Linked DNA regions of Neodiprion lecontei. The protein of the gene in region 1 binds, or shares a complex with, the protein of each later gene. Links are inferred from orthologs where the notes say so. Each region holds a gene or a part of one and is shown in the gene's direction. Other genes may lie near its edges.

Region 1 (6,812 bases):
GTTACACACATTAGATATAATCCTGGTTTTTCCGTTTTTCTGGTTGTAAACTGCGAAATTCTCATGGATGCTTGTCGCTTGTTATTACAGAAGAAACAGAAGATGGAGCCAATTTTGTACATGACTGAATGGTTTCTATGCGTTTATACGCGAACATTACCCTGGGAGAGCATTTTGCGTGTTTGGGACATGTTTCTTTGCGAAGGAGTAAAGATTATCTTCAAAGTTGGACTAGTTTTGCTCAAGGGTTGTCTGGGCCGCTCGACTCTCACCAAACACTGTCCAACCATGTATGAAACTCTTCAACAATTGAGGAATCCTCCTCACCAGCTCATGGAGGAGGAGATGCTCGTGAATCAGGTAACATTTTGACACTATTCCGCAGATTATGTCATTAAAGGCATGGCCACTTGAGCACTATCGATTAAAATCTTTGTAGAGACTCAGTGCTTTTTTGTTACCAAAATTCCGACTTTGTCACTCTAGCCATTTTGACAAATTCAATGGCGATGTTAGGTTGAAAAAAGCTAGCACCGTCACAAATAAAAAATGAAGATAAAAATAAAATAAAAATGGTATATTTAATTACTAATTAGTTGCTTAACCTTTAGGCTGCAGCTTGGCCAGTATACAGATCCGTTTCAGCAATTACGCGATCAGTATTTACTTCTAGAATTAGTTACTCTGTAAAACTACTGCGTGATTTTGTTACTTGCGTGCATTTGGCCGAAAACCATTACTAGTGTGATAAAAATACGGAACGAAAGATATTTCGCGTAATTTTGTATGTTTATCATACTAGGGGTGGCTTTCGGCCAACGTCAGGTGAGTTACGAACTCATGCCATCGATTTTGACAAAGCAACTAATTCTAAAAGTAAATACCGATCGCGATATTGCTCACATAAAGAATATTGTGTAATTTCATATTTTCACTACACCAGGGGTAGTTATCCAAGCTGGGAGTTGATAATTTCACATGTATTTCTTCGTGAAATTCAAGCAACTAAATAGTAGCTAAACATACCATTTTTATTTTATTTTCATTTTCATTTTTTACTCATGTTAATGCCAATTTTTTTCAACCTAGTATCGCCATCCATTCTGCTAAAACGACTGATGCAAGAAAGTCAAAATTTTGGCAAGAAATTAGCAATAAAAGAGCACTACATCTCTACATAGATTTTAATCGATTGTCCTGAAGTGGCAGTGTCACCTTTAGAGACACTCACAAATAGGGTAATGAAATGAGTTTCTTACAAGTAAAAATTCATTCGGAATGGAAAGAACACTTATTGTTAGTATATGATATCCATATTTCACTCCAATACAGATTCATAGACTGAAATTGAGTGAAGAAGACTTTGAATATGAGCACCAGAGGCAAGTGGTTCGTAGAAAATCGAAAGACCAAGCACCTCCGCAGCCTACGATGAACGGAACTGACTGATTGAAAAAAGAAAGCATGAAAATGGAATCAACAGCTATCAAGAAAAGCTCTTGAACATATTCCCTGAAATACGATGTGCCTTTTCCACAAGTATATCATATAGGTATGCATGTATATGTAATGCACAGAGTATGAAGTCTGTTCATCATAGTTAATTGAAATATTAATTCATATTATTATTATTATGTTATTAATTATTATTATGTTATTAATTATTATAATCTATGTTGAAGAATGAAAACACGGTGTTTTATGCACATTCCCGCAGTAGATAAATTACATACTTAGTACCTTTGTTCTATTCACATTGTTATTACGATTGTTGATAATACAAAACAAGCACAATATTTTTGTTATAGCTATATCATATTATTTAATATAAAAACAAAGTATTTTATTGTGCTGTATCATCATTATATTATTATTATTATTAAACTATATGCTCCATTGTCAATATTTATGTACAAAAAAATGCGAAACAAAACTTGTATACCGTACTGTATTTTTAAATGAATCGTATCTTATACGAATATATCACAATAAAAAAATTCGACTTATTAGTAACGAGTGAATAATCAATGCAACATTTTAGGACCCGAGATACTGAGTCGAAAATTCTTTGAGAATAAATTCACTCATGTCATCATCTCTACATATGTCGCGAGCACACTTTAGGTATGTATGTACTTGGTTGCAGAGACTTCACCATCGTCGAGTCGGTGTACAGTATTTACATAGTTTTTAGTAATCCTTATTCTATGTATTTCATACATGTAAATGTAACAATGTATGTTGGCGAAAGACCCACTGGGAAAAACCCAGTGGAAAAACCGCGTAACAATCGCCATTGCAACAGCTTGTTAAAAAATCCGCTAGGTGGTGTACACTGTCTGACAATTTGACATGATCCGAAATTTCAATGACGTATCCGCGTCTATGTATATCTATTTTATTACAGGTTACAATTGTCGACGCCAAGCTTATTTCGTTGCAATCACGGTCTTACATACAGGTCTGGCAACGAAGGTAGTGGGGGTGGTTGATTTCACGGCCGGTTATTTATCTCACTTTGTGGCCGCCAGGTCGGCGTTGTGATCGAGAGATGGATAATCAACGCGTGCGCAATGCATCGCCATCCTAATAATAATATTATTATTGGCACATTTTCATCCGTACCATCCCTACCCCACGTACATCCCGAGATAGCAGCGCTGCGACATGGCTATTTCAAACACTAAAAATCACGGACAAAAAGAGAACCACGCCGCTGCACGCCGCTCTGTAGAAAATTGAGCTTCGTTGCCAGACCTGTATGTAAGATCGTGGTTGCGATCGGCCTCTTTACATTGAACGGCTACCCGTAAGGGGATTTCTTTGCAGGCGATCACAGGTAAATTGATTAACGAGTTATTACGGTCTGTATAATAAAGAAAAGACTTCCTCTGTAGGATGATCAAATTTCTCCTAAATATTACGGCCCCCAATTGTGACTAGGACTTAAAATCAGGCCAAAGCAGTCTATTTTACTGTGCCATGTGTTTGACAACTCATTTGTAAGCCGTGCAAATCAGCAGTGATACATTTGTACAGTTTAATTTCACAGATTCAGTCTAATCATGAGCCGATTTTTCGCCACCGGATCGGACTCCGAGTCTGACAGCTCGTCTGAGGAGGAACAGATTCAGAGGCCCACAGGGGCAGTTTATACGGTATTTTTCAACCTTGCCTTAATCTAACCTTAAATCACGTTGAAGTTCGCTACCGTTATGTGACACAAACAGACTTCGATTGTCTGGTTTTGGTTATCACGCATTTCACCTTTGTAAACGAATAAATTTTCTTTACAGTTCAGTGATGATGAGGAAGAAACAAAGCGTGTTGTGCGCTCAACAAAAGAGAAGCGTTATGAGGAAATCACAAATCTGATTAAACTGATTAGAAATTACAAAAAAATCAAGGATATGAGCAGCATGCTCACAAGTAAGTATTAGTATTACGCGACCTTATGGTTCGGGATTGTATGGAATAAATTAACGCTGGTGTTGTGGGTTCTAGGTTTCGAACAGTTGACGCGAGCTTATGCAAAGGCACTGCCAGTTATTGCCAAGGAGGAAAATGGCCAGACGCCACATTTTTACTTACGATGTTTAGTCGAGTTGGAGAATTTTATTACTGATGTTTGGGAAGATCGTAAGAATATGTCTAAAAATAATTCCAAATCACTCACCTCTTTACGCCAGAAGATACGGAAATATATCAAGGACTTTGAGGAGGATATTACCAAGTTCAAAGAGAATCCTGACCAGGAAGATGAAGATGAGGAAGAAAAAGGTGCAGTTTCGATTATCAGAGTTGAATATTACAGTGTTAACGCAGAGAAATATGTAGATATAATTTAGTTACCTCAACTAAAGCAAGTTAATGTTACATATTATTAATTATTTAACATGATCACATAGCTGAAGAGGCTGAGGAGTCGGATGGAGAAGAAGATCGTGCCAACGCCTTCAAGAAAGCTAGTTCAGCAGAAGCAAATGCTCCTGATGTTTCGAAATTCAAGGTTTGAACGTGGTTACATTATTGTATTAATTGAGCTCGTTAGTTGGCCAAAATTGATACTTTTTATCAATTTTGTTATGAATTAGTCGTTCATTTAGCATTTATCAAATTTTCATTATATTTGTAGGGTTTGATCGTGGTCACGTTACCGCATTAATTAAGACCGTTGGTTGGTCGAAAATCAATACGTTACAATAATTTTATTATGAAATAGTCGTTCATTGAGTCTATCAAATCATTATATTTGTAAGCTACGAAGATTTCTTTAAAAATGGAATATACTTCAATTATGAACAAAAGCATAAGTATCCATGCTTTCTAAAAGGCATTGAAATGTTTAAAAATCTCGTAGATTCGTTTGATTTCATTCTAGAACCAATAATTTCATTTAGAAAACTATTGTCTGCAAAGTTACTGAAGTACTTTTTTTTTTTTGTTATCATGCTGGCATCATTAAATATTTAGTTACATAATATTGCACTAGTAGTATTCATCATCAACTAATGGCAATATTGAATTAACTAGTTAAAAAAAATTATCTGGCTTAGTAACAGTGTAGAAAATAATCTTCTGATTAAAATGTAACAATGTATTGTGAAATCGAAAAATTTACTAGAGTTCTACTTATTTAGAAGTAATTTGAAATAAAACAGCCATATCTAATCTTATGTTTAGAATTCCAGTATTTTCTATTCTGGCGTTTTGAAAGAGATCTTTGGAATATAACAATTTGATTAATACGCAATGTACGACGATCTTTAAGGGACATTACAGTGTGATCCTCCGAAATATCACTGATTTTCGCGATTTTTTTTTATGGTTAGGATAAACTAATCGGTTTGATTTTTTTTTGCACATCAAGGCAGTGATGAAGAATATAAAATGATTTTTTGTAAGTTGATTTATTTATTGTTTAATATTGTTTTAAATTATTGAAAAGTCCGATTCAAAAAAAAGGTCCTGCATGGTGTCCAGGATTGCGGTCTTAATCCTGATCTGAAACAAAAATTGCAAAAAGATTATTAATCTGTATGAAAGCCGCTATCGTGCTATGGACGCTTTTTTTTTTTTTAATTTGACAAAATGGCGGCGGTTTGAACAAAACGTATCGAATTCAGTTTTTTTTTTACGGTTTTTCGTAAAAAAAAATTGAAAGATTTAAAAAAAAAAAAACTTCCATAGCACGATAGAGAATGACGTAAAGAATGTTCTGTCAAAATTGCAAATGGATAGCTTGAAAACTCTTCCTTTGAGAGTGGACACCATTCCGAGAAAAACGCGTTTAAAGATTGAAGTTAGAAAATTGTAGATATATCGTTTAATTACGATCAATCGGCGATACCAGGTCCATACAATATTCCTTCTGCTTCCTTAAATTGTTCATTTCCTGCAGGAACGTACACGCGCAGGTAGGAACAAGACAAAAGGAATAACAGTTGAATGGGGAGACAAACGCAGCAGATGTCATATTCCCTTTCTCTAAGAAATGCTGTAGTGACTGAAATAATTCGAATTTCGTTAAAAAATTTGAGAGAATGTTTATAATAGTGTATACTATCCGATAGTGCAAAAAAAAAAAGATTTTTTGAAAATTTCACACTGATGATCCCTTAAATAAAATTGAAAAAAGGGTCGATTTTTTGCCTCACAACTACTTCAATGTCTTTTATTGTTTTCATGACTTTTTTCCGTTTGTAGAAAGGTCCAACGATCGACGGTGAGGAAGCCAGCGACAGCGACGAAGATTGGGGAAGTGATTCTGACAGTGATAGCACATCAAGCGATGACGATGGCCAGTACACAAACATTCGCGAAAGATTCATAAAGAAAACAACAGACAAAGATGATGACGAAGATAAGGCAAAGAAGAAAGAACAACGCAAAGAGCGCAAAGACAAGGAGAGAAAGAAGAGACGTGATGAAGACGACGGCGAGGGTGAATGGGAGACTGTTAAAGGAGGTGTGGCAATACCGTCAGAAAAGCCTAAAATGTTCGCCAAGGATGCTGAGATAAATGTGCAGGCCGTGTTGAAGAAACTAACTGAGGTGATAGCTGCACGCGGTAAAAAGCGAACAGACAGAAGAGAGCAGATCGAACTACTTCATGAGCTGCAGTCGATTGCTGAAACTCATAATCTCGGGCCAGCCGTCGCCGTCAAGATAAAGTTTTCTATAATCTCTTCAATATTTGATTATAACCCAAAAGTTTCCGATGCGATGAAACCTGAATACTGGTCAAAGCTTCTTGAGCGCATATCGGAGATGTTAGACATGCTTCTGAGCACTCCAGATATGGTAATCGCAGAAACAGTCTCTGAAGACTCAGAGGAATACGAAACACCGCCGTACAAGCTGCATGGTTGCGTGCTGACTCTGGTCGAGAGATTAGACGAGGAGTTCACCAAGCTGCTTAAAGAGTGCGATCCGCACAGCAACGAATACGTCGAGCGACTGAAGGACGAAAAACGCGTATCAACGATTATAGACAAGGTGCAGGAGTATCTGGAGAGGCAGAGCGTAGTATCAGAATTGTGTCGGATTTACCTTCGCAAGATCGAACATCTTTACTACAAGTTTGATCCGACTGTGCTGAAACAGAAGGATGGCGAAATTGCTTCCAATGTCGTAACGTCGGTCCAAGTTATGGAAAAATTGTGCAAATTTGTCTATGCAAAAGATGGTACAGATCGTTTGCGGACCAGAGCTATTCTTTCGCATATTTACCATCATGCGCTTCATGACAATTGGTTCCAAGCTCGAGATCTGATACTGATGTCCCATTTGCAAGAAACCATTCAGCATTC
Region 2 (6,893 bases), on another chromosome or scaffold:
GGTCAGTGTTTGTATGCTGAGCATTATTTTGCAGCGATGCTTCTTGAGCTTGTCTGACAGCCTCCTCGACTCTCCCTTGTTGTTGAGCCATTAAAGCGGCGTGTTGGGCAGCGAGGTTTTGCTCAGATTGCCTAACTTGTTCTCGGAGTGTAGCTTGCTGTGACTGAAGCTGCGCAAGTTCATTTCGCAACCAACCTGAAGGACCGGCAATATTGACACCAGAATTAACTCCTCCGATCGGCGAATTCACGTTCCTTATTGGTCCAGGAATGGCCCCAACAGGTGGTCCCACATTTCCAGGCCCTCCGATTGGTCCTGGAACTCCGGATACTCCGGGTACCCCAGTTATCCCTGGTATAACGGGCCCTGGGTTCCCGACCACTTGGCTTAAACCGTTGTTTTGAGCGCTCAGGCTCGAGGCAAGACTGACGTTATTTTGTGGCGAAGCGACGGCCGCGGCTGTTTGCTGCTGCTGCGAAACGTTTAAACGTGGGTCGGCATTTTGCATTGGATTTATTCCTTTTTGCTTTAAAACTGTAAACGAATGACGGTGGATTATTGCAATTTGTTTTCATTTCTTCATGATATTGAAAAAATAAACTAATGGTCCATGTTTTTTACTTTTTTTTTGTTATTTTTTTGTCATTTTTAATTCGGTTGTTTTTTGGATGAATATCTTCGAATGGCACATATTAATTTTTCTGGCATCATGTAAGAATGCATTAAGTCTACTGTTAAATTTAAAGCGCCACTGAACACAGAATGTGTTGTTTTCTTTCTTTCATCGTGCTACACCAAACAGTTGAGTACAGGAGCATGTATGTAAAACAGATTTTACTGCGGCAGTGTGTAGTACTCTTCATAAACATAAAAGTAGTTGGTATTTTAAACATTTGTATCCTTGCCGATCTAATCTTGGATCAGATAACAATCCTAAAGCTACATCTTGTTCTTATTTGTATTTTAAGAAAGCCCCTTTCACATTTCTAGTTTTTTTCAAGTCTTATAATAAATAACGATTCCCAAAATCTTGAACGATGTCCTGATTTGCACAAATGACATTTTTCATCTCATTGCACGGTGGTGATGTTTTGTTCATTTGACGATTTCATACGTTTTCTCATAGTCGTTTTTTTGTTTTTTTTTTTTTTGGGTTTGCTTCTAGCTCATTGAACGAAGACCTTTTTTTGTACGTTGTTAAGGGGATTTGTTCCCACTTACTGGCTTGCTCCGTTGTCACTTTGTATTGATAGTAGTTAAAGTGCTCTCCGCCAAACAGGAAACCAAACTTCGGGTTATCCTTTTGCTTGTTTTTCGTCATCTGCTCAAACTCTGGTCCGTTACGTGCGACAAATTGAGCCAGCTTGTCTATGATGTTGCGCAAGTCCGTGTCTATTAAATCATTTAAAACAGAACTTTGTTAGAACAATCGGCATCCAACAACAATGTAAGCTTACATCATATTTCATGGAAAAAAAGGATCATCATCTTACCCGGTATTATTTTCTAGACAGATTATTTTCTAAAATATTCAAGAAATCATTATGACATATAAGTACAATATCCTAGTTACAGTTCTGATATAAAAAATAATCCAACATTTAGATAGCTATCCTGTTATTTATTAACTTTAAAATATAAATGGAAACAATATGTAACCATCGCAGAACAAGATATGATATCAAGATAAGGATATCAATATAATGTTATTGCGGTATTGAAGAGTATCAGATATTTCTCTTGAGACAAATCGTTTATGATATAACTTAAAAGATTCTCCAGACTTGTTTGATCGCAATTTAGATGTCGATTACGTGTTGTGAAATGAATATGGAATACAAATATTTACCCTGTTAAAATCATAACCATACCTAAGGTTTGATTAACAGATTGTATATCTTGAAGGGTGATTGTAGGAGAGAAAGCAGCGAACGGACAATGAATGTGAACGTGGAAAACAAAAATAATCACCGATATTTCGCCGAGTGTTGTAAAAGATTCGTAGATAGTCATACTTAGTAATAAATCAAAATTCCAAATTCTCATCGGGGTGCCGATTTCGGCAATTTTAAGGTGGACGTGAGAGGAGCCACATAACCTAATACAATTCCTGTACACAACGATATGTTTGTGTAGCACAGGGTGAGAGAAATCTGCAGTGATTTGTATTTACTCGTCAAGTTGTAAAGGTGGAGAGTAATATTGTATTGATGGGCGAAAAATTAAGCCGAAAAATTAATTGATACGTGATACGTAGTGTGGAAATAATACCGCGCTTCGTTGATTCTTGGGATTGTGATTTTTTTTCTCTACCTGCAGGAGCCTGATCCATTTCTTCTTCGTGGGTACTCGAGACTCGTCGTGTAACGAATAATTCACACTTAATAATGAAACTCTATCGTATTTTCAACTGTAATGTTGTGCCGAAAACCATTATGCTCACGATACAGCGACAACGCTAGACATCGCCATTTTTTTCACTTCGTCTCCCTCGCCGGTGACTCAAGAATGTAAAGACAGTCCCCCTAGTGGACTTTGGTGTGACAACCGAAAATCGTCGTGCGCTTGCGCCCTCTGAGATGTTCCAACGGTAGAGTTGAGAACTTATTGCAGAACATCAGAGAGATACGATTTCGACATGATGCTGGCTGCATTCACCGTGATCCACAGACAACTTATAGCCATTCATCTACATTCGTCGCTAAAGTTTTCGATGTAACGCACAGAGGGAGCAGCGATCGCCCCCAACGCCACTGGCATTTCTTCCATTTTGGCTGATCGTCTATCCGACGGACATATGTACGACGAAGCGTTGTCAAGTTCTTTTAAAATCTTCCAAGTATTACGTTTCGTTACACCGATACCGTTACTCACGGAGAACAGGTAAGTTTGTAATATAATAGTAATATCTGCTATTCCATATCATTTTTCATTAAGGTGCTCAACGCCGGCTGAGATTCCAAAATTTATGACACGTGAGGTTGATCTACTCAAATGCAATTTTCAGTATCTTCTACAATGTTACGATCATTTTACCAGGTTAAAGAGTCTTCCAGTTGCCAAATCATTGTGTCGCGTTTCTAAATTTAATCGACGCTACTTTCATGAATTGATTGGAATGATGGGTATCAATACTCGAGACGTTGCGATACCCTAACCTCAAATAGTTCAATGCTCCATCCTGAGTCGTACTATCCTTTCAAACGCAGAGATATTCTGGATCTCCACCATTCTTTGAAATCCTAAATATACATTTATAAATTTATGAAGATCGTTTACTTTGTAAATTGCTCGCTATTATTCCGTTCGCTATCTACACTTCCTTAATCAATCAGGTGTAAACAAATGTTTCTTAACAATCGAAGGTTCCTGTACAGGGAAATTGATAGTAATTTAAAATCGAAAGTCTTCCGCTTGAATTGGAATTCTTCTAGAGGCTGAAAAGTTTGATAAGTTACAATTAAAAGACATGTGAAACGTTAAAGAGAAACAACTAGTAAAAGGTAGAAAAAACGTTAGGATTGATATACTTGGCCCAACACTATTGTTTACCCATCTACTAGATTAGAGGTGTTTTTCAAACTTGCAGACATGCCGGTAACAGAAGAAGTTAAATCCAGTTGGGCAGATGAAGTTGAGGAAGAAGGAGGAGCACTGCCACCACCGACAGAGGTCTATGAAAATGGATTCAAAATCCTTACAGAATACAAATACAACGAAGACGATAAGAAAGTAAAAGTTGTCCGTACATATAAGGTGGAACGTCGTATAGTATCAAAGACTATAGCCGTGCGGAAAAACTGGGCAAAGTTTGGAGACTCCTCGGACGACAGACCTGGACCAAATCCAGCCACAACTGTCGGAGCAGAAGATGTCTTCATGCAGTTCATTTCAAATAAGGAAGAAGAGAACAAGGTCGAAGAAGACTCACTTGACAAATTGAAGAGTATCGGGGACAAGGGTGTCGTCAAGTGTCGTAACTGCAATGGTGATCACTGGACTTCAAAGTGTCCTTACAAAGACACTATACTCGCTGGAGGTAACTTGATACTGATATTTACCCATTATTTGAAGTTCTTGCATTCACTCATCCAAAAACTTTATAATATTCAGGAGCCCTCGCTATACAAGTTCTGCGATTAGAATAGATTTATAGGTATTAGTAAAATTTCGAAAAAGTAAGACGAAATACTGAGAGATTTTATACTGTAACAGGAAGTTTTTGTCTCAAAGGAAACATTTTTCCAAATGTTAGAACTGCGTCCTTAAAGTTTGAACATTTTATTATTCCTCAGATGAACCGACCATTCAATTGTTAAAATATTTTTACCTTCAACCAGTAATTGTGTTCGGTACCAAAAGAGAATTAAGCTTTTCTCAGTCCATCTTTCTAATTTACTGATAATCTTGAAATGTTTTACTCCAGGTAAAGTTCCAGATGATAAGAAACCAGCTGGAGTGCCAGGAGCACCTGGAGCAATGTCTGATCTAAATAAACCTCAGGGTAGTAGATACGTACCACCCAATATGCGAGATGGCGGTAATAGACGTGGAGATTCGATGCAGATGACGAAGCGTGACGATACAACAGCGATCCGAATTTCCAACCTCTCTGAAAGCACTTCCGACGCCGATTTGGAAGAGCTTGTTAAGCCTTTTGGACCAATTCAAAAACTGTACCTTGCTAAGGAAAAGCTAACTAATTCGTGTAAAGGATTTGCTTATGTTCATTATAAATTCCGAGCTGATGCTGCTAAAGCTATTGTTCAATTACATGGACATGGTTACGATCACCTTATTTTAAATGTGGACTGGTCCAAACCCCCCACACAAAGTAATTAGATGTCAATTGCGCATGTGACTCCGTTTTACAAGATTAAATCCTTCTGACGCAATAATTGATCATTCGTTAAGACCCTATTGATATGTATCTTGTGTAATAAATTATAATCAAATATTTCAATGTTTATATATATATATATAAATTGAATGAACGGATTCCACGTTTCAGTAACCAAGGTATTGTTTTGCAATCTCTGCAGTTGTATCTTTGATTCTTTAATAAATTGTCCAAAATATAACTCCTCTGATTATTGATAGTTACACACTTGCAACAAAATAACTTTAAAGTGAGTTGGGTATTGCTGAAAACTAAGCAAAAGAGAATTGAACTCAGATTAACCATAATGATTCATTTTTATAGAATATACATAATAATAATTAATTCACATAGTCGTCAATAATATAATCATCCAGTAAGCCCGGATTTCCAGGAAAATTCGGTACTATATTGATGCAAGAAAGGAAAATACCGAATTATCTTTAGTATCAAAGGACTTTCCTTTCTATCCATCTTAAAAATAGTATACATACATTCTTACATCTAGTATCATGGGTTTCCAAAAAAAAAAATCACAAGAAATCAAACTCGCTTCACATCACTCATGTCGGGAGAAGCATTGTAAAATTCATTAATTCACGTTATGCAGATTACAATGTGTGGACTGTGTGACATAAAAATAAGAAAGAAAAATTCTCCTAATATCATTTATAAAAATAATCATTACCTTTCAAAGTATTACAGGTTTTTTACAGTGCTGAATTTCGCGATTTTATACAAAAAAAAAATTGATATTCAACAAGTAAGCACATTTGGCAGATAATTGACTGATCATTAACAACATTATTGTCATTATTATTATTATTATTATTATTATTATTATGTTATTGTGTTAATCGTCTTGTATGAGAATTTATTTACAAAAATGAAAATCAATTCTATTACCGCTTTCTGGCACTACTTTCGAAATACATACCTTAATGAACTTTTTACTTTATTATTATTACTTCAGTTTTCAAGAAATCGTTTACTCGTATTTACGAGAGATTAAGTCCGATTTATTCTCAGTTACTGCGACAAAACGCGATTTGTAATCAACTATACCTACTACTAGTCGAATTCTCTGGTTTTTCGTAAATCACTAAATGAGATTTTTTTCAATTCTTCTAGCTTCCTAATCTCTAACTCTAAGACCCCAAATACTCGTTCGCCTAACACCAACTGTCGGTCTGGCGACTGAACTGTATAGGAACTTGTTTATTTCAGTATTTCCGCAACTTGCTTGCAGTGTATCTAAAGTAGGTTCGGCCATTAATCCAAAGACGTCCAGGTACATTAGGCAGGGCATGTGAGCTAGTCTTAAATAAGTGGTAGGAGGAATACTGTAGCAGCGACTTAGGGCTAAGTGTTCTAACTTTGTGAGGCTTAATAGACTTTGGGTGGCATTGATTGTAAGCATTGTACAATCACTCATATCGAGTTCGATGATACGCGGGCAGCATTTTACCAACTCTTTGACATCTGCAAAAATAAGTCAATAAATAAATAACAAACTTTTAAATACTTCGTCGAGGGTCATAGTATTTAATAGCCTATTATTATACATATTTATATTATTATGTATATTTATATTTATATATTTATATACTTACTATCATCTGTCATGGTTTTCCGACATCCGGCAATATTCAGCCGGGTAATGGTGCTTGGTAATTGTCGACAAAGTAATGTCATACATTCTAAATCCAAGCCACACCAAGCAACGTTAAGAGCATTCAATCTAAAATGAACAAGAAATGTTATACAGGTAACAATAATGAAAATAAGACTGAGATTACAGCTTTCAAATAAAAAATAACAAGTATAAATTGGGAAGCAAGTACCTCACCTTGACAATTTTAGAACATCCTGGAGACATTTTATATCAATTCCTTCACACATGGTTAAATTTAGAACTTCCAAGTCTTGATTTTTGCTTATAGCAGTACAGCAAAGTCTATTCAGTGTACATTTCTCGAGAGATAATTTTTTCAAAAATTTACACACGGATAAC
Region 3 (9,448 bases), on another chromosome or scaffold:
ACCCGGTAATCATATGACACAAGTAGCATATGTGTGCTATTTACAAAGTACCAAACATTTAACTGCCTTATGGAAATGCAATTTGTAATGTCTTTCTGCACGTATTAACAGGTCATACTGGAACTTAACTGGGCTGCTATTGCGTCACTATATCAACTTTTAGTTATTTTTTTGCCTATGAGATCGTTTTTAGTCATGTTCTTTTGGATTTTGTCACTTTTACTTTTTTACCCTTAGATTTTAGAAAACATTATCAGAGTTTAGAATTAATCTAACTGAACACTGGAACTGAAGAAACTCCTTTCCTAAGATTTTTTTTTATTGCCAGTTTTTGCTCTATTGTTGCGTATGCAAATAACAATTTCATAAGGTAAAAATGAAAATTTACAAAGATTAGAAAATAGAAGGCTTGCAATAGCGAATTTTCAAATTCGCAAAAATCTGTTTTCGAATGTAGACTATATTTTGAGTTATCTGCATTCTAGCCTTCTGAATTTTGAAATTCTGTAAGATAGATTTTCGCGGATTTGAAAATTTTTGATTACAGACTCAGACAAATAATGTAGTTCATAAAATTCTATTTATTTTATCGGAACTATCCTTTTCGATTTTTCTGTAAAGTTTCGATGCAGACACGTTTAATAGGTATACAATTATTTCACCCTTAAATAAATTTTTACAGATGTTTGGCGAAAACTTGGAAGATCGACCACTTGGACTTCCACTTTGACTCACTGGAAATTATGGATCATGTCCCGCAGAGGAGAGCATCCCAAATGAATATTGACTTTGTGACTGTACCCCCGTTTGTACCAGGCAACCAAATACTCCTTTTTTAACCCGCGACATATCCATGTCAACATTGTCCTCGAGTCCATGCCGTTCACTTACACTTGGTAACTCTGGACCATGGATGTATTTTGACACTTCTACAAGATGTTCCTGATTGTTATGATTGTTAGCCACGACTCTTCTCTTGGACATCGTTGATACACCTGGAATTACGAAAGTTTCACTGTCATTAACATCAGATATGCAGTTAATTGTTTCTGGTTCTTCTAAGTCCAAGTTTTATGTTCATGAGCCAAACATTTCCGTTGAACCGCAAACACGTTGAAAACTGTTTGGGGTTGAAAAGTATCGTTGTTTTCAGATTTATTAGTGGATCAGCAAACTAATCGCAAACAATGTATCGTTGATTGAAAGTTCTTTTCTGGGTATATCTACTTCGTCCAAGAATCCCGACATCGTCGCCTTTACGCTGGAACTCAATCGGCTGCCGCTCAACGAACGGAACTGAAGTAACAAACTAACCAATCTTTTTTTTTCGAACAACTCTACGAAATATTTAAGAATCTCCTTGGCGCTACTTTGTAATTGGCTGGGAATAATTCTGGAAAATTATTTCTCAAATGTTTACCGAGTAGATTCATATCTTCTACTCCCCGTCTGTATCAATACGAAATAAAAATTATTTCATTCTTATCACGACAATGATTCGATTTTCGGTACATAACTTGACAAGTTAAAAAAGTTGAGGCAATCAAAAGAAGAAACGATTCTTTCACGGTGTATATTTTACTGCGAATAGGTTTAAAAAACATGGGCAGACAGTGTAGAGAATATTTTGAACTGTGTAATAAATGTAGAAATATTTGTAAATGAAATTAGTTAGCTATTGTACGGAAATGTTTTCGGCAACTGTTGGAATGCGATACACTGAACAATTACGTTTTTTATGTATAGATAATATACTCTCACACTTGACACTTTTCACATCACCAATCACGTGCAGTCGCTAAAGTGATGTATTCAAAATTCCATAGTCCGAAGACACATTTTCCGATAATACAAGGTCCTCTAGTTTAACTTCTTCGTTAGAATGTGTTATATGTATTAAATTGTCGCATTTACAACTGTGAAATGATTTTCTGCCTTTTTTCACAATAATTCGACAGATCCGTTCCTATTTCTATCCTTATTTCAATTGACTATTCACACTATTCACAATGCTTGAAATCCATAAAAATTGAGTGTACAATTAAAACGTTTCCCCGTGCAATGAAAAATAAAGAAAACATACTACTTAATTGAATGAATTAAGGGTAAATTTTCCGGCGATGTAATAAATTCAATGAATTATTTCAAAGTAGAATTTTTTGTGACGAATGTACAGAAAGTCAAATAAACTCCGCTTTAGCATTGTAACTGATAAGACAGAAAATTATGTTAAATATCAACGTTGATGTGGATCACAAAATGTAATAGAAATTGCCTATCTACAGGCTGGTTGATTCTATTGGGTGGATAAAGCAGACGACTCGAAGGTGTTAGCAAAAGCATCGAGTTGAATCGCTTCATTCGATATATCGCATGTGCGCAGTTGAGTTGCGATAGATCGAATCAGTCAGACGGAAGCGTTGATATACGTCTTCTGCGGCCACTTTCAGACGCTTCAGTTTGCTTTAGTAAGAGGTTTCCAAGATGGCAAAGAAACGGGAGGCGGATAAAACGCCGCATAACGATGATCCAGGTAAAAACGACGATGAGAATATCAACGGGGATAACGAGCCAAACTTCAGCGATCCCGAGGGATTCGTCGACGATGTAACCGACGAAGGTATTTCTACTCTTACATTTCACATGCGCGTCACTCGTGTCATCCCTATCACCCCTCGGGGCTCGGTCACGGCATGGCATAGGTAGCATGGCGTGGCACGAAAGTTATCACATATGCACACCGTCTCCTAAATCTAACCATCCCGTCTCGGGATCTCGACAATCTTCCGTACAGTCTCAATAGCTTTTTCAATTTATTCGCCGGTTTTAGCATTTTAACCTCCGAACTTTGGCGTGATATTTTTCCTTTATACGTGACACGGTTCAACTCTGTACTTGAGCGTCAATTAACCTTCCAAATTTTGTATTGGCACCCATTCAAGATACCATTTTGCATTCATAACAGTCTCTGAATATTACTCGACACCAATCTCCGATTCGCCTTTTAATTCTAAATCGGGTCTGCTATATTTCTATTAATCTTTTATTCCTTTTCCTAGAACTACTTGGCGAGCTCATTAGGCAGAAACCGTCTGAGACCGATGGGGTTGAAGCTGTCATTGTCGTCGACGGTGTTCCGCAAGTTGGACCCGAGCGTTTAGAAAAACTCCAAATGGTGATCAGCAAGCTGTTTGAAAAGTTTGGAGACATTGTCAACCAGTGGTATCCCAAGAACGAAGATGGCTTGACCAAAGGGTAAAGATCATAAGACCATAAATTTTAATTCAACAATGCTAACCTAGCAGAAAAACAGAAACAACTTGTCACTTGTTTTGTAATTATTAGTACGAAGCTTCAATTTTTCACTACTTTGGTTGTTTTGTTAATTAACACTGGTATCACAGGTACATATTCTTGGAATACAAAAGTCCGGTGAACGCATTAGCTGCTGTCAAGTCGACAAACAATTACAAGCTCGACAAGATGCACACATTTAAGGTGAATTTGTTCACGGATTTCAAAAAGTTTGAGGATACACCGGATGAGTGGGAACCGCCAAAGCCCCAGCCGTATACATCGAGTGGTGACCTTCACTACTATCTCCTTGATCCTGATGCGTACGACCAATTCTGCGTTCTCTCTGGCAATGGAATGGCGGTTTGTGTTCAGATATGGCAAAATTCTGCACCTGAACCGACGCTGCTGGAAGACCGACCGGTAACAGTTTTTCACAGTTTGACTAGATTAATGTGCAAGTCGAAATAAACATGGTGTATTCCCCTTTTCTAAACCTTTTCAGCGATGGACAGATACATACGTCAAGTGGTCTCCATTGGGCACGTACATAGCTACTTTCCACAAGCCAGGAGTCGCGTTGTGGGGTGGTCCGAAGTTCGAGCAGACGGCAAAGTTTGGTCAACGCGGAGTTGAGTGCGTTGACTTTTCACCTTGCGAACGTTATCTTGTCTCATATTCACCCAGGGCTGAGAGCAGCGTTGATCAGAAGCGGCTTGTTGTCTGGGATATTCTCTCCGGTCAAGAAAAACGGGATTTTAATCCTGACGGGTCCTCGGTGTGGCCCATTTTCCGCTGGTCACACGACGACAAATATCTCGCTCGCATGGGCGAAGATGTACTCAGCATCTACGAAACTCCTGTAAGTTTTTTTTCTACTATTTTTTTTTTTTTTTTTTATCCTTTTGCATACCAATGTTAGATTTTTTTTCATCAGATGGTCAATTTTGTTTCGTGCGGATGTTCAACTATGGTCTATTCGCTTTTAAGCATTTGCATTTATTCGATTTTTTAGTCATTTCGACTACTCAACAAAAAGAGCATCAAGATACCAGGAATCAGAGACTTCAGCTGGTCGCCCACTGATAATGTTCTAGCCTACTGGGTGCCGGAAGATAAAGATGTCCCAGCCAGAGTCACACTTTTGGAAATTCCCAGGTACAGCACAGAGTTCATAGTCAGAATTGAAATGCTGCTTCCATTTGTTGGTTAACAACCAAAGAACTTATGTTTTGTTCCTATACCGATTCGCGGAGTTCATGAGTGTTTCTCTTTTTCCCGTTACAGCCGCAACGAAATTCGTAACAAAAATCTATTCAATGTCGCCGACTGTAAAATTCACTGGCAAAAATGTGGTGACTACCTCTGTGTCAAGGTGGATCGTTTTGCGAAGAGGAAAGAAAAAACTGAACAAAAATACACTGTAAGTATCGCAAGTAGTAAAAGCTCGTTCAACTCCTCCCAGTTGCCTAAATTATAGTATAGCATCGGTATTTAATTTCTCCATTTGATTTATTTTCAGGGAATGTCGTACAACTTTGAGATATTCCACATGCGAGAGAAGCAGATACCGGTTGATAGCGTTGAAATGAAGGAACCGATTCACGCATTCGCCTGGGAACCAGTGGGTAGCAAATTCGCTATCATTCACGGTGAAATACCCAGCGTAAACGTCAGCTTCTATGGAGTACGCCCTGGACTGCATCCTGATCTTCTCAGTAAGCTTTTCAATCCAGTTTCAATATTTCAGAAAAGTAATTATATCCAACTAAATAAGACGAAAAAGTGTGTTGTACATCTCTGAAGATATGTATATCAGTTCATAGAACAAACATGTGTTCTTCAGTCTTGTAATGACTTTTACTGATGTCTTAGAATTAAAAGGCAAAGTTTTTAATTTTTTCTAACTCTTGTTTAGAGAAACTCGAGAAGAAGGCGTGCAATCACCTGTTCTGGTCTCCTGCTGGCCAGTTCATTGTACTTGCTGGTCTTACCACCATGGCTGGTGCCTTGGAGTTTATTGATACCAACGATTTTACTATAATGAACACCACTGATCACTACCAGACCTCTGACGTTGAGTGGGATCCTACCGGACGGTATTTAGCTTCGTTTATTCTTTATCATTCTTTTTATTTATTCTCTCGTTATGTATTTAATGCGGGCTTCGTTTTCGTTACATGTTATTTAGTAGAATTCTTATTATTATTATTATTCGTATCACTGTTAAATCAAAGATCTTTTACTGATTGTGAAGTTTACTTCAATCTCTTTACTTTGGCAAAATTTAGTTTTAAAGTAAGCTTAGAAATGAAGCATAGAACTAAAAGGACGTGACTAAATGACCCCAATCAAAAATGAAATACGGCTGCTTTTAGATACGTTGTGACTGGAGTGTCGAGCTGGAAGACAAGCGTCGACAACGGATATTGGATTTGGTCGTTCCAAGGTCGTATTTTGAAGAGAGTTAATTTGACTGCGTTCAATCAGCTTCTATGGCGTCCAAGGCCAGCGACGCTTTTGACCGCCAAGCAAATCAAGGAAATTCAAAAAAATCTGAAGAAGTATTCGGCACAATTCGAAAGCAAAGATCGCATGAGACTAACTCGCGCCTCGAAGGTAATATTTTCCTATTCCGATACGGAATATTTGTGATCAAATAGTGACTTTACATTTATTCGTATAGTTCTTTTTTTCTATTGTGACATTTAAAAACTACCCATATCCTTGAAATGATTTCTACCTTTCTTTTTCCAGGAATTGATCGAAAAGCGTTGTACACTGATGAAAGAATTCGAAGAATATCGATCAAAACGTATCGAAGAATGGAACAGCCAAAAGAAGCGTCGCCTTGAACTACGCAACAGTATGTATTACCGTAGTCAAAAGTAAAGATGGAAAATAATTTATATTGATCTGCTAGTATTTTCCTATATTGAATGACGTATTAATTTCGTGTTTTTCCTTCTAGATATCGACACGGATGAGCTGGACTCAGATACGAAGAATGTTGAGGAGGAATCGATCGAGTTTTTCATCAAAGAAGAGACATTCGTCATCGACTAAGAAAGTATCCTAAGAATTGAAATAATTTGGTCTTGCCAGACTTGGAAACCTCTGTGTAAGACCGTTAAATTGTTGGATTTCATGGTGTATTGTACCTACTAACTCTGGAACGGAGGTGAACCACGCTGCAAGTGGCATCATTTCCATTATAAAGCATCATTGATGGTCTTTAACTATTATAGCAATTGCGTAGAATTTGTATTTTATTATTTCTGTATCATCGTGTCATTTTTCCTCGATGATTTTACACCACGTAAAGAACGCGGCAAACGTAGTACAATCAAATTCTATCACATACCTTATAGAATAGTCTGTAATACTTGTAACTGCTACAATGATTGTCACACTGTCCATTTTTTTTAAGTCACACAGACTATTTTTATTTATCTAATAATACCCTTTCGGAAAGCCATTTGAAATCGAACATTGTTTTATGAATACTTTTCTATAGAGTATCGTCGAAGACGAAGTAAGGGAATCATCACGACGAGGAATCTGTGACTGCGTCAAAACTGAAACCCCATTCCTTTCCTCACAGCTCACACTTGCGAATCAGCGGAATTGCCTTCGGAAGGTAGGTTTAGTTTATTTATTTATAGTAGGTTAATTATATTTAAAAAAGACTGGTTTTTGTGCAGATGCTCTTGCCGGCAGTTTGGTTGTTGAAAAAATACGCGTCATGCATTTAATCTGGGGTTTTTATATTTCATCAATTGTTGGTTTTCCACTGTGTATAGAATTCTGCAGATGATTTTTCAAAACAGAAATCATATATTTGTTCTTTTTCTTCTTGGCATAATATCCATTCTGTTCAAATTATTATCAACTTTACTATTATAACAAGCATCGGTTGCTATTATATGGAACGGGAATCTTCGAAAAGCAATAACATACAGAAAGAGTCATAAAGACGAAAATGTGTAAAGTTATGTTCTTACTATATATCTACATATATGCTAACGAATGTATTAATTATTATGCATAATGTATAGTTTGGAGGTACATAAGTTGAGAAAAAGGTCTTGATTTTAAAGTTTATGTATTATATATTATGTTATAGCTCAATGATCCTTAGATCTCTATGTATTATACAATCATAAGAATAATGATGAAAATAAAAAAGGAAAATAATAGCCTTCTAGTGTATTTGCTTAGTCCAAAGGGAAGCGCCTAATTATAGGCAACCAAACTTACATGTACGCGACACGGCCATCAGGCGTAAGGCGTGCCTTCGATCAGGCTCCTCGGCTCAGATGTTCTCCTAATACCAGGAGTAATTTTTCGCTGCTATTTCTCCGATCTAATTGAACCAAGTGGGAGCGCCTAATCATAGGCAACCAGAACGGTACGTATGTGACACGGGCTTTCAAGCATAAGGCGCGCCTTCGATCAAGCTCCTCGGCTCAGATGTTCTCCTGATACCAGGAGTAATTTTTGGCTGCAATTTCTCCGAGTTGCTTAGTCCAAGTGGTAGCGCCTAATCATTGGCAACCACGTTTATACGTATGCGACACGGGCTTTCAGGAATAAGGCGTGCCTTTGATCAAGCTCCTCGGCTGAGATGTTCTCCTAATACCAGGAGTAATTTTTCGCTGCAATTTCTCCGAGTTGCTTAGTCCAAGTGGTAGCGCCTAATCATAGGCAACCACGCTTATACGTATGCGACACGGGCTTTCAGGAATAAGGCGTGCCTTTGATCAAGCTCCTCGGCTCAGATGTTCTCCTAATACCAGGAGTAATTTTTCGCTGCAATTTCTCCGTGTTGCTCAGTTCAAGTGGAAGCGCCTAATCATAGGCAACCACGCTTATACGTATGCGACACGGGCTTTCAGGAATAAGGCGTGCCTTTGATCGAGCTCCTCGGCTCAGATGTTCTCCTAATACCAGGAGTGATTTTTCGCTGCAATTTCTCCGAGTTGCTTAGTCCAAGTGGAAATTAATTTTTATGCATAAGAAATGAGAGAGTATATTTTGAGCTAAAATTTATTTCATTTTTACTATACATATATTATATGTATAATAGGGTGTTTCAAAATAAAAAAATTTACGATTTTCCAACGAGCCACACCCGAAATAGTTTAGGTAGAAACAAAAATTCTGGCGAAAGATGAGCATTGTCGGTTGATTTTTAATCCTTTTTTCCTTTTTATCGAATTTATGATGGACAATTGTTAGTAATTTTTTTTCGTGTTAAACACTTCTTCATCTGAGCTATCCATAATGAGTAATCAAAAAGTAGTGGCAAATATGCATGATTATTTATTGTGTGCCCATGACGACTGAGACAAATCGTGGTCATCAGATAATTGATAAATATCTCTTTTTCGTAGAAACAGTATCGGCGGGTGGTCACGCGACTATAGTGGGCGCATCTCACGGTAACTGCGCCGCGGTCCGCCGCGGTGCAGTGGGTTTCAGCCTTAACTTTTGAAATGTCCTACCATTTCCGAACACCTGCAACCATCCTATTTACCTATATTACTAGATTAGCTATTATATGAAAAGAGAAGAATTATTCACTTCGAAATGGGATTCTATTCGACGCGCGCTCGATGTATTCCATAACATTAGTATTCCTAATTATTTCAACAACATTTCATTTGCTCTCTCGATCTTGAATTTTCGTAGGCATATAACCAAAACGCTGTTCTAGCTAGTCGAGAGTGAAGTATCTACGTTGGGTAGAGAAGCAAAATTGTTTTTCGAAAAGTATTCGGATGGAAAAAAATTCAGAGTAACTGTAATACATCACGGATGCGCTAATTTTGAACGAGATGAAATGGATGCTTCGTATATGAGATAGTATTTAACGCTGCGTAATGATTTAAAGACCTAAAAAGGTGATAGGAAGAGAAAGAACGAAGCTTCTTAACACTTCGAGTGTATTTTAACACACATTTGAAAGATACGAGCAAAATTTTTCATCATCCAACTGTCGCAGAACGGCAGCGTTATCGGCTGACCCGTTAAGTAAAGGATATATCTTCAGTCAACGGCTGACCATCGAAGGGCCTGGCCGCTTGAGTCTGGAATCGGCAGGACAGATAAGGTGTGTATTTCTTGTATGAAATGTGAACACTAGAATCAT
Region 4 (7,941 bases), about 26 Mb from region 1:
GCAAAATTCAGAGAATTTTGCATCCATTTTGTTGGTAAATGTACAGATTGTCTATTCAGTTTGGTGGCAGCTTTGGCAATGGTAATTTAAAATTCTCAATATCAGTTGAAAATATTAAGCTTGACTTTTGATACACTCAGAAAGAAACAAACCCAATATTCTTAGGTGCAAATTTATATTCTATGTAATGTTAGGGTGTGACTGAACCGAATAGAAAAACTGTTCATAGTTTCAACATCAACTGATCGCTACAGCATTTAATCACCACGATTCATATTTGGATACAAACAACAATTCAATCTAGTCTCCAAGCAGTCAAACCCTGTTATGATCCTGACACAATATATTTCCTAAACGATCAAGTAACCAATGCTCTACCTGTCGCAATACAAGTACACATTTTTGATAAACTGGTTGTAAATTCCTAAGGGGATGTGAAAACTCGAGTTTGTAGATCAGGTGTCACATTCTTGACAGTACCTTGTCTTATGTTCAGTTTGTCTTCAGCAGCTCTCAATTTTTCTTCGAAACGATCTAAGTCGCCTACCGTCATTAGGTGTGTAACGTTTCCAATCTTACGGCCTTTAATTACAGCGTCTGGGTGTAAGATTATAATTACCATGTCTATTTGAGGTCGAAGTATCAACTCTTTCACTTCACCTTTGGAGAGCATGTGATGGAGAAAATCATTCCAGGACACGTACACAATCTGCTAGACAAGTTATTCAAGTTATGTGCTTCAGGTTTTACATATTTAGCATTTTCATATACATTACATATCTCGTATAATGACAAGGTTCAGACTGGTAACATTAACATAATAAAACATTCTGAACAAAATAGCTGTTTTCCAACTTCAGATTGACTTTGAAGGACATGAGTTTTCAAAATATGTATTTTTTCCTTTACTATGCTTCACGAAATTCCAGACAAATGTAAAATCGTAAATTTATATTTTTGTCATAAGAGTGCATTGTTACATTAATGCTACAAACCTTGTCATTGTATAAACAGGGTCGTTCGTGACTATTGTCCCATAGGCTGCCAAGCAACAATGTATTCCTTGTTAAAATCGATAACTAAAAATTGGGTTGCAATGCTAAGAAATTCTTCGGTTTCGAATAAAAGCCATTCGATCAACCAACTTGGTAGCATCAGAATTGATTACCACACACAGGGATGATAAACCGGGATACTACGCAGCGTAGTGATGAAATAACGATCCACCAGTCCCGTTCTGGGTCATTAAAAGCTTCCAGATTGGTCAATTTCAAACAGCTGTAATTCGCGTATAGAAAATTTTTTATAGAAATGCAATAGACGTTTCAGTTGCAGATTGCTACGAGAAATACGTTGGTAGTTTATAAGACTGTACTCCAGGACCACCCTGTAGTTTCGGCAAGAATTGAACCATGGGATCTGCATATACACTCACCTCCCGTTGACTATTATTCGGTGTTAGCATGGTCACCAAGCTGACAATCAGCCAGAAAAATGTAAGCCACATTAAATACTTGGGAACAAGACCAGAAACTTTTTCATTGTCATTTTTATTCGGATTATCTCCTGAGCTTTGAGATGAGGGCTCTCCAGCACGGCCGCCACTCGCCGCCTTATTGCTATTGTTCGTACCTGTGGTACAGAAGCATCTGGCATTATAAAAGCAGCGTAGTTTTGAATCACTATCGAATCCGCTGCGTCGTAACACGGTATAAATGGCGCATACCTCCTTATGCATTCGCATACGCATTTGACCCTAAAAAATAATTACAGTCATTTCATCGTTCTCCCACATCCTCAAATATTGCATCTTAAAAGAATTGCTGAATACTGAATTTGATCTATTTATTTCTCATAACTATCGATATGAGACTAGGAAAATACAAGTCGGGCATATTATATGATTTTCTTACCTGAAACGACAGGCATTGTGAGATTCGAAGGGCGCGATTCAGGACTAGTCTGAAATTAGGTCTACTCAGTACCGACTCGTATTTTCCCGCAACAGTTGACGCCAACTTAAAAATGTCATTCACCGAAGGTAAATATCGTTTCGGACATTTAATAACGCGCTGCATATTCTCCAATTTAGTTTTACAATCACTGTGACCACGAGTATGCTATGCAATGCATGAGAATAGGTTAGGGCCCGGATTGTAATCGAACACGGGCATACATATATTTATGTTACATAAAGGACAAAACTACAACAGACACTTGATCACGCGCGACGAATCTTTTAATATTTCACAAATGAGAAAGTGATTGATAATCCGCTTATACGACTCCTTACGTAAATCTCAAGATAAACTTTATTTTAAGAAACATTCTCATATTTGTGGCTATGCTGAAGCCCGAATAATCCGCAGACGACAAACCATTTGAAGGATATCAATCTGGGGTGTATTCCGAAATCACGGTCTTAAATACAGGTCTTGCAACGAAGGTAGTGGGGGTGGCTCATTTCACGGGCGCTGATTTATCTCACTTTGCGGTCGCCAGGCCGGCGTTGTGATCGAGGGATGGATAATCAACGCGTGCGCAATGCAGCGCCAACCTAATAATTATATTATTATTGTTGTTATTACAAGTAATGAATTGTTATGAATGAAAGTAGTTAATATAAATATTAGTGTGATATAATTATTATGAATGATATATGTATGGAGACTAGAGGCAAAGAGTATCATTACAGTATGACGCACGCGCTGATTTTAGGTTATATGCTTCATTTCAAATATAATTTCCATGGCACATTTTCATCCCTACCCCACGTACATCCCTAGATAACAGCGCCGCGACATGGTTATTTCGAACACTTAAAACACGGACAACAAGAGAACCACGCCGCTCTGTAAAAAATTGGCTTCGTTGCAAGACCTGTATGTAAGACCGTGCCCAGGCCGCAGTAGTCGCAGTCAACAACGTCACAAATTTCATGACGTCACTGACTGGCGGCAGTAAGCTGTCGCGCGATTTCAGAATGCAGTTGCCAGTACTTGCAGTACTGCGGGTATATTTCGGAATACACCCATAGGCCTCCTTACCTCTACCCTCCATAAAGTCAACGTATTAGATTGTTCACAGCTTCGAATTAAGGGCACAAGCTGCACGAAGTTTTGCGACGGTTTCAGCATTCATCAAGAATAGTTGAGCAATATGAGGACTTTTATAACGAAAGAGTTTCCATCTACCCAATGAGGTCGGCCATCTTCTACAATATCTAGCCAATGCTGGGTCATTTCGTTGACGGTTTGTGGCTCTACTCATCTCTTTCTGCCGTTCGGCCAGGGCGCGTGTGAGACGTTCAGCTGGTGCACTAGTCGATTTTGTGGCAATTTTGGAGCGCTGATGCGATATTAGTTTAGATAAAATGGTAAGTTTCTGTTCTTAAAATAAATCTGTTCTATCATTATGCCAGATCATACCTCCCCTACGCGTGCACACACATAAACACGTGTGAAAATTTGCCTTCCCGTGCCTAACCTCAAGTTGACACTGCAAGATATCGATTCAAGTACCTATATATCTTCGGTCAACGTTAGAGGAGGCTTCTTGTGAAATGATGTGTGTTTCATATCAGACGTGGTTATATTGAATGTGTCTTTTCGAATCTTCGGATTCCATTGTTTGTGATTGCATTGTGTTTTAGAAACCTCTCATGCTTCATGGGCATGAACGTGCCATTACCAAGATCAAGTACAACAGGGAGGGTGACCTCTTGTTCTCTGCAAGTAAGGACAAGAAGCCTAATGTCTGGTACTCCCTCAATGGAGAACGCCTTGGAACTTTCAACGGTCATAATGGTTCTGTATGGTGCATCGACGTTAATTGGGATACTACTAGATTCTTATCTGGAAGTGGTGACAATACTTTATGTGTATGGGATTGTCAGACTGGTTAGTTACCTCTTATCGTTCTATTCCAACAGACTCGTACCATATCTATATGATGAAGGTGATGTGAAACTGGTCATTGCTGGATTTGTAGTATTCTAACCAGTGAAAGTATTTGAATTTTATCCTAGAGGAGCTGCGATAATTTTGTCGATCTCTGTCTGTTGGAAAACTAATACACTTGCAAATTTAAGATGTTACTGAACCTAGCAGGTGATAACTGCGAGCATCATGAACAAATCAATAATATATAATCAAATATCCTTTATAATCTGTTGAATTGATACAATGATTTGAGACATGAATGTGAAATTTTTCCAATTTCTTTGTCTGACTTAGTTTTACCTACTAATTCCGGCAACATGAAGTCGAGCAAATTGGTTTAATTAATCTAAAACATGTAAACTTATGCTATTTTGAGATAGGTTGAATTTCACGCAACAACGATTCTCTGTATTTTTCTCGATTCAGGAAAAGTTGTTGGTCAATTGGAAACAAATAGTTCGGTGAGGACATGTAGCTTTAGTTATTCCGGGAATCTTGCTGTCTATTCAACCGATAAAGCTTTGGGATACCAATGTGAAATGTTCATTATCGATGCACGAGACGTCGTTTCCAAATCATCACAAGAGAATGCCATACGACGAATACCTATCAACGGCCCCCGAATCTCTGCTATTCTTTGGGGTGCTCTTGATGAAACCATCATCACTGGGCATGAAGATGGTGAGATTAATCTCTGGGATATGAGGGTGAGTTGTGATTCACATGACACAAATATTAATCTTGAATTAAATTACAATTCCTCAGTTTACTTTATTTGTAATATATTCACAGACTGGGAAAAAACTTAATTCTATTAAAAGTCACAAGAATCAGATCAACGATATGCAAACCAATAAGGATGGGACCATGTTTGTGACAGCATGTAAGGATCATACGGCCAAATTGTTTGATAGCGAATCTCTGGTGTGCTTGAAAACTTATAAAACCGAGAGACCGGTCAATTCCGCAACAATATCCCCAATTTTGGATCATGTGAGTACGCAATTTTATATAATGTCTTGAGCAGGTGCAGCAGCATTTTAATACTTTCCTGAATATTGTACAAGATTAAACATTTTTTATAATACCCGAAAAGTAACGATATTACCATTCTGACACTTGAGAGAAGGTCGGAGCACTCCCTTTTTTTCTGCTAACTTTAGGGGAATAGTTTACGATTGTTGACAAGTGTGTCGACAACATAGGTGACATTAAATAAGGTGGTGCAAGCCACTTACAAATGAGATTGTGATAATACCTCAATTCCTTCTGTATCGATGCAGTACTTTTGCTTCAGTTGCGAGCATACTTAGCAAAGTGTTGTCCCGATCGTAGCTACTTAGAAATTGCATACCTTATGTCTAAGTAGCACTAACTGGTGATCTTATTTTTTTGGCCCTACTAAAACTTGACACTGACTACAGAACATTCTGCCTTTTAGTACACTTCTATGTGTGGACTAAGGTATGCACAGTATTCCTATGTTATATTACAAAAAAATGCAAAAATGTACATATTATGTACACCCAGTGAAGTCGATTTGGAATCCCTCTAATTTTAGCAGCTCAAATATAAGGTTGGCAGCTCTAGTGCCCAACTTACGCCTATTAAATAACATGCGGTATCTGTTGGATGAACCGTAGCAATTAGTTAGAAGCTGCCAGAGCCAACCCTATTTCTGACCCGCTTAAACCAGGAGGTTCAGAATCGACTTCACTAGTGTGTAAGATTCAAATTTTAAATGTCGTTCAATTGAATATACTCCTGATTTGTCGTTTGACTTGTCAGCGATTTTGGGAATGAAATAAAATTTTTATTAAAATTAAACGATTGGAAATTTGATGCCATGCAGCTTGGACAATTTTCTACTCAAAATGCAACTCTTTGGTTACAAACTGAAAAAAAAATCGTTCACGTAATATCCAAATTTAGGAGGCGTGGTTAATTTTTTTATTATATACTACTCACTAAACATCCATTACAAATGACTTGATCAAGTTATAACAATTCGTATTTAGTGAGTTGGCAGAAAAAGCAAACTCCCTGTAAATATGCAAATTTGTAGAAAAATGACTGACTGATTCTTTTTATGTGAAATTGTCGGCAAGACATGTAAAATTACATCCGTACGTAGTGTGGTTGTGTAAAATGCGAATGTAACAGATCGTACCTATATCCATTTTCAGGTGGTACTGGGTGGTGGCCAGGATGCCATGGACGTGACCACGACATCGGCTCGTCATGGAAAATTTGATTCACGATTTTTCCATTTGGTATTTGAGGAAGAATTCGCTCGACTCAAAGGCCATTTTGGCCCTATCAATTCTTTAGCCTTTCATCCTAATGGACGGAGTTATTCTACAGGCGGAGAAGATGGATATATTCGTATCAATACATTTGACCAATCTTACTTCGATTTTCATTTTGAATATTAATCAATAATTGTACTACCATTGTACTAATATATATCGAATCTAAAAATTTTACACAGCACGTGCTCTTCATTTATTCCGCGTAATGTTTCCTCAATATTTCGAATCATTTTTCGGAAAGATAAAAACCATGAAGGAGGATGTGAGACGTTTCCAAGGAAATGCCTGTATCAAGTTATCGGTGTCAGATATGTTGCTTAATTTTTCTGTACGTACCAAATTGTCATATTGCATGAATTTTTTTTTTCGTTTGCTTGCATCTGATACACTGACAGATTAAAATTCGTTAATTTTGCATGTCACATATCTGTATACCTATGTGAAATTTCAAGGAATAAGGATACAATGGTAAAGTGGAAAATGAAATTGGCAACAATTGCAACATAAAATACGGTTTTAATATCTATGTTAGTATGATTTATTATTGAAAGTAAAAATCGTCTCGTAGAAAATATGGCTGATGATTATTGTATAAAAAATATTGGACAGAAGGTAACTTCGGAATTTATCACTATTCTCAAATAAGGATACATACCTATGAGAAGTAGAAACCATCATATATACCAAGTATAACTATATGCCAAAAATAAAAAGATGAAGAAAATATAGCGCAAGAATCAAATATGAATTTTCATATCACTGGTTTGGTCTGAAGTCCTAATTTATTTTGCTCTCAATAACATTTCAATATCGTTCCTGATTTGAATGCCGACAATGGATTCCCTTCACTTATTTATCATAGCAAACTAAAAACTTGGCAATATTTTTCAAGGTTGAGTGTCCCATGATAATAGCACTTCTATGTATACGTAGATGTATTTGAAATTTAATTTATTGTAGCCCAGTCTTTTGGTTGAAGCTTGGGCCTAAACTTGACTGATACTCGGTAGCGTAATCAGTGAGAAAAACATTTGCATCAGGATTGGACTGATTTACTCAGTTTATACCTATGCTCAAAGTATAAAAAACAAAAACGAGTAGACTTGACAAACACAATACAACTTATTATTACGCATAATTCATTATCAAATCGGTAGGCCTTATTTGGAAGTTTGGCGACCTCAAATGGTCTGTGTGGTATGCAAATATCAAACTACTTGTTTGAGGTAGGGTAGCTGGCAAGTAACATTGAAAGTATTTCAGCTTATAGTTTGTACCGGAAATTAGTTTTGACCAAATATTGTACTTGAACTTGGGCCACATCATATACAATATATTCGTTGTACAAAAGAGAAGTTGACTTTGAAAGCTTAGCTGGTACTGGCTTTCCGTATGGCACCTGAACTCCATCACTTGTAATGTGAAAATCGTCTGGGTCTGGTTGAGTCTGACCCAGACCCAATGTAGAATGTTTACCTTTTGGTAATTTTTCAACGTAATCCGCTGCGTGTCGCTCATAGGTATTGCCCAGAGCTACCTCGCACAGTAGCAACAATCCAGTCGGATTTTGTCGGTTAGTGCAGCAATAGTTGGCTGATTTTGACACCATATCAGCAAAGTATATACCTTTACCAAACATGTAACCGGTGACAGGTGCTTCAGGTGGCGCAATTCTCAAACCCTGGGAC

Evidence for each region.
Region 2: eukaryotic translation initiation factor 3 subunit C (region 1) and eukaryotic translation initiation factor 3 subunit G share a complex: the UniProt entries of both Caenorhabditis elegans proteins name them as parts of the eukaryotic translation initiation factor 3 (eIF-3) complex. The link is inferred for Neodiprion lecontei from reciprocal best matches to the Caenorhabditis elegans genes eif-3.C and eif-3.G.
Region 3: eukaryotic translation initiation factor 3 subunit C (region 1) and eukaryotic translation initiation factor 3 subunit B share a complex: the UniProt entries of both Caenorhabditis elegans proteins name them as parts of the eukaryotic translation initiation factor 3 (eIF-3) complex. The link is inferred for Neodiprion lecontei from reciprocal best matches to the Caenorhabditis elegans genes eif-3.C and eif-3.B.
Region 4: eukaryotic translation initiation factor 3 subunit C (region 1) and eukaryotic translation initiation factor 3 subunit I share a complex: the UniProt entries of both Caenorhabditis elegans proteins name them as parts of the eukaryotic translation initiation factor 3 (eIF-3) complex. The link is inferred for Neodiprion lecontei from reciprocal best matches to the Caenorhabditis elegans genes eif-3.C and eif-3.I.

What each region holds. Positions count from the first base shown.
Region 1 is NC_060261.1:25,907,647-25,914,458, reverse strand, and holds the start of eukaryotic translation initiation factor 3 subunit C, read left to right. Parts: upstream 1-2,673; 5' UTR 2,674-2,839; intron 2,840-3,039; exon of another isoform or gene 3,040-3,052; 5' UTR 3,053-3,065; coding exon 3,066-3,158; intron 3,159-3,296; coding exon 3,297-3,429; intron 3,430-3,504; coding exon 3,505-3,780; intron 3,781-3,908; coding exon 3,909-4,009; intron 4,010-5,706; coding exon 5,707-6,812. Other genes in the region: TBC1 domain family member whacked, read left to right, coding at 91-360, 1,333-1,449. UniProt on the Caenorhabditis elegans protein: Component of the eukaryotic translation initiation factor 3 (eIF-3) complex, which is involved in protein synthesis of a specialized repertoire of mRNAs and, together with other initiation factors, stimulates binding of mRNA and methionyl-tRNAi to the 40S ribosome.
Region 2 is NC_060263.1:36,422,978-36,429,870, reverse strand, and holds eukaryotic translation initiation factor 3 subunit G, read left to right. Parts: upstream 1-2,726; 5' UTR 2,727-2,883; intron 2,884-3,589; 5' UTR 3,590-3,591; coding exon 3,592-4,039; intron 4,040-4,426; coding exon 4,427-4,842; 3' UTR 4,843-5,081; downstream 5,082-6,893. Other genes in the region: calcium homeostasis endoplasmic reticulum protein, read right to left, coding at 1-534, 1,222-1,392, 2,314-2,332; S-phase kinase-associated protein 2, read right to left, coding at 6,015-6,361, 6,493-6,620, 6,729-6,893. UniProt on the Caenorhabditis elegans protein: RNA-binding component of the eukaryotic translation initiation factor 3 (eIF-3) complex, which is involved in protein synthesis of a specialized repertoire of mRNAs and, together with other initiation factors, stimulates binding of mRNA and methionyl-tRNAi to the 40S ribosome.
Region 3 is NC_060266.1:1,378,504-1,387,951, reverse strand, and holds eukaryotic translation initiation factor 3 subunit B, read left to right. Parts: upstream 1-2,425; 5' UTR 2,426-2,484; coding exon 2,485-2,620; intron 2,621-3,059; coding exon 3,060-3,255; intron 3,256-3,404; coding exon 3,405-3,717; intron 3,718-3,799; coding exon 3,800-4,156; intron 4,157-4,309; coding exon 4,310-4,452; intron 4,453-4,581; coding exon 4,582-4,717; intron 4,718-4,816; coding exon 4,817-5,012; intron 5,013-5,212; coding exon 5,213-5,393; intron 5,394-5,672; coding exon 5,673-5,913; intron 5,914-6,051; coding exon 6,052-6,160; intron 6,161-6,265; coding exon 6,266-6,360; exon of another isoform or gene 6,361-6,555; intron 6,556-6,811; 3' UTR 6,812-7,493; downstream 7,494-9,448. UniProt on the Caenorhabditis elegans protein: RNA-binding component of the eukaryotic translation initiation factor 3 (eIF-3) complex, which is involved in protein synthesis of a specialized repertoire of mRNAs and, together with other initiation factors, stimulates binding of mRNA and methionyl-tRNAi to the 40S ribosome.
Region 4 is NC_060261.1:375,973-383,913, reverse strand, and holds eukaryotic translation initiation factor 3 subunit I, read left to right. Parts: upstream 1-2,978; 5' UTR 2,979-3,373; coding exon 3,374-3,376; intron 3,377-3,652; coding exon 3,653-3,899; intron 3,900-4,367; coding exon 4,368-4,648; intron 4,649-4,733; coding exon 4,734-4,934; intron 4,935-6,127; coding exon 6,128-6,376; 3' UTR 6,377-6,427; downstream 6,428-7,941. Other genes in the region: poly [ADP-ribose] polymerase, read right to left, coding at 481-712, 1,436-1,756, 1,914-2,120, 7,521-7,941. UniProt on the Caenorhabditis elegans protein: Component of the eukaryotic translation initiation factor 3 (eIF-3) complex, which is involved in protein synthesis of a specialized repertoire of mRNAs and, together with other initiation factors, stimulates binding of mRNA and methionyl-tRNAi to the 40S ribosome.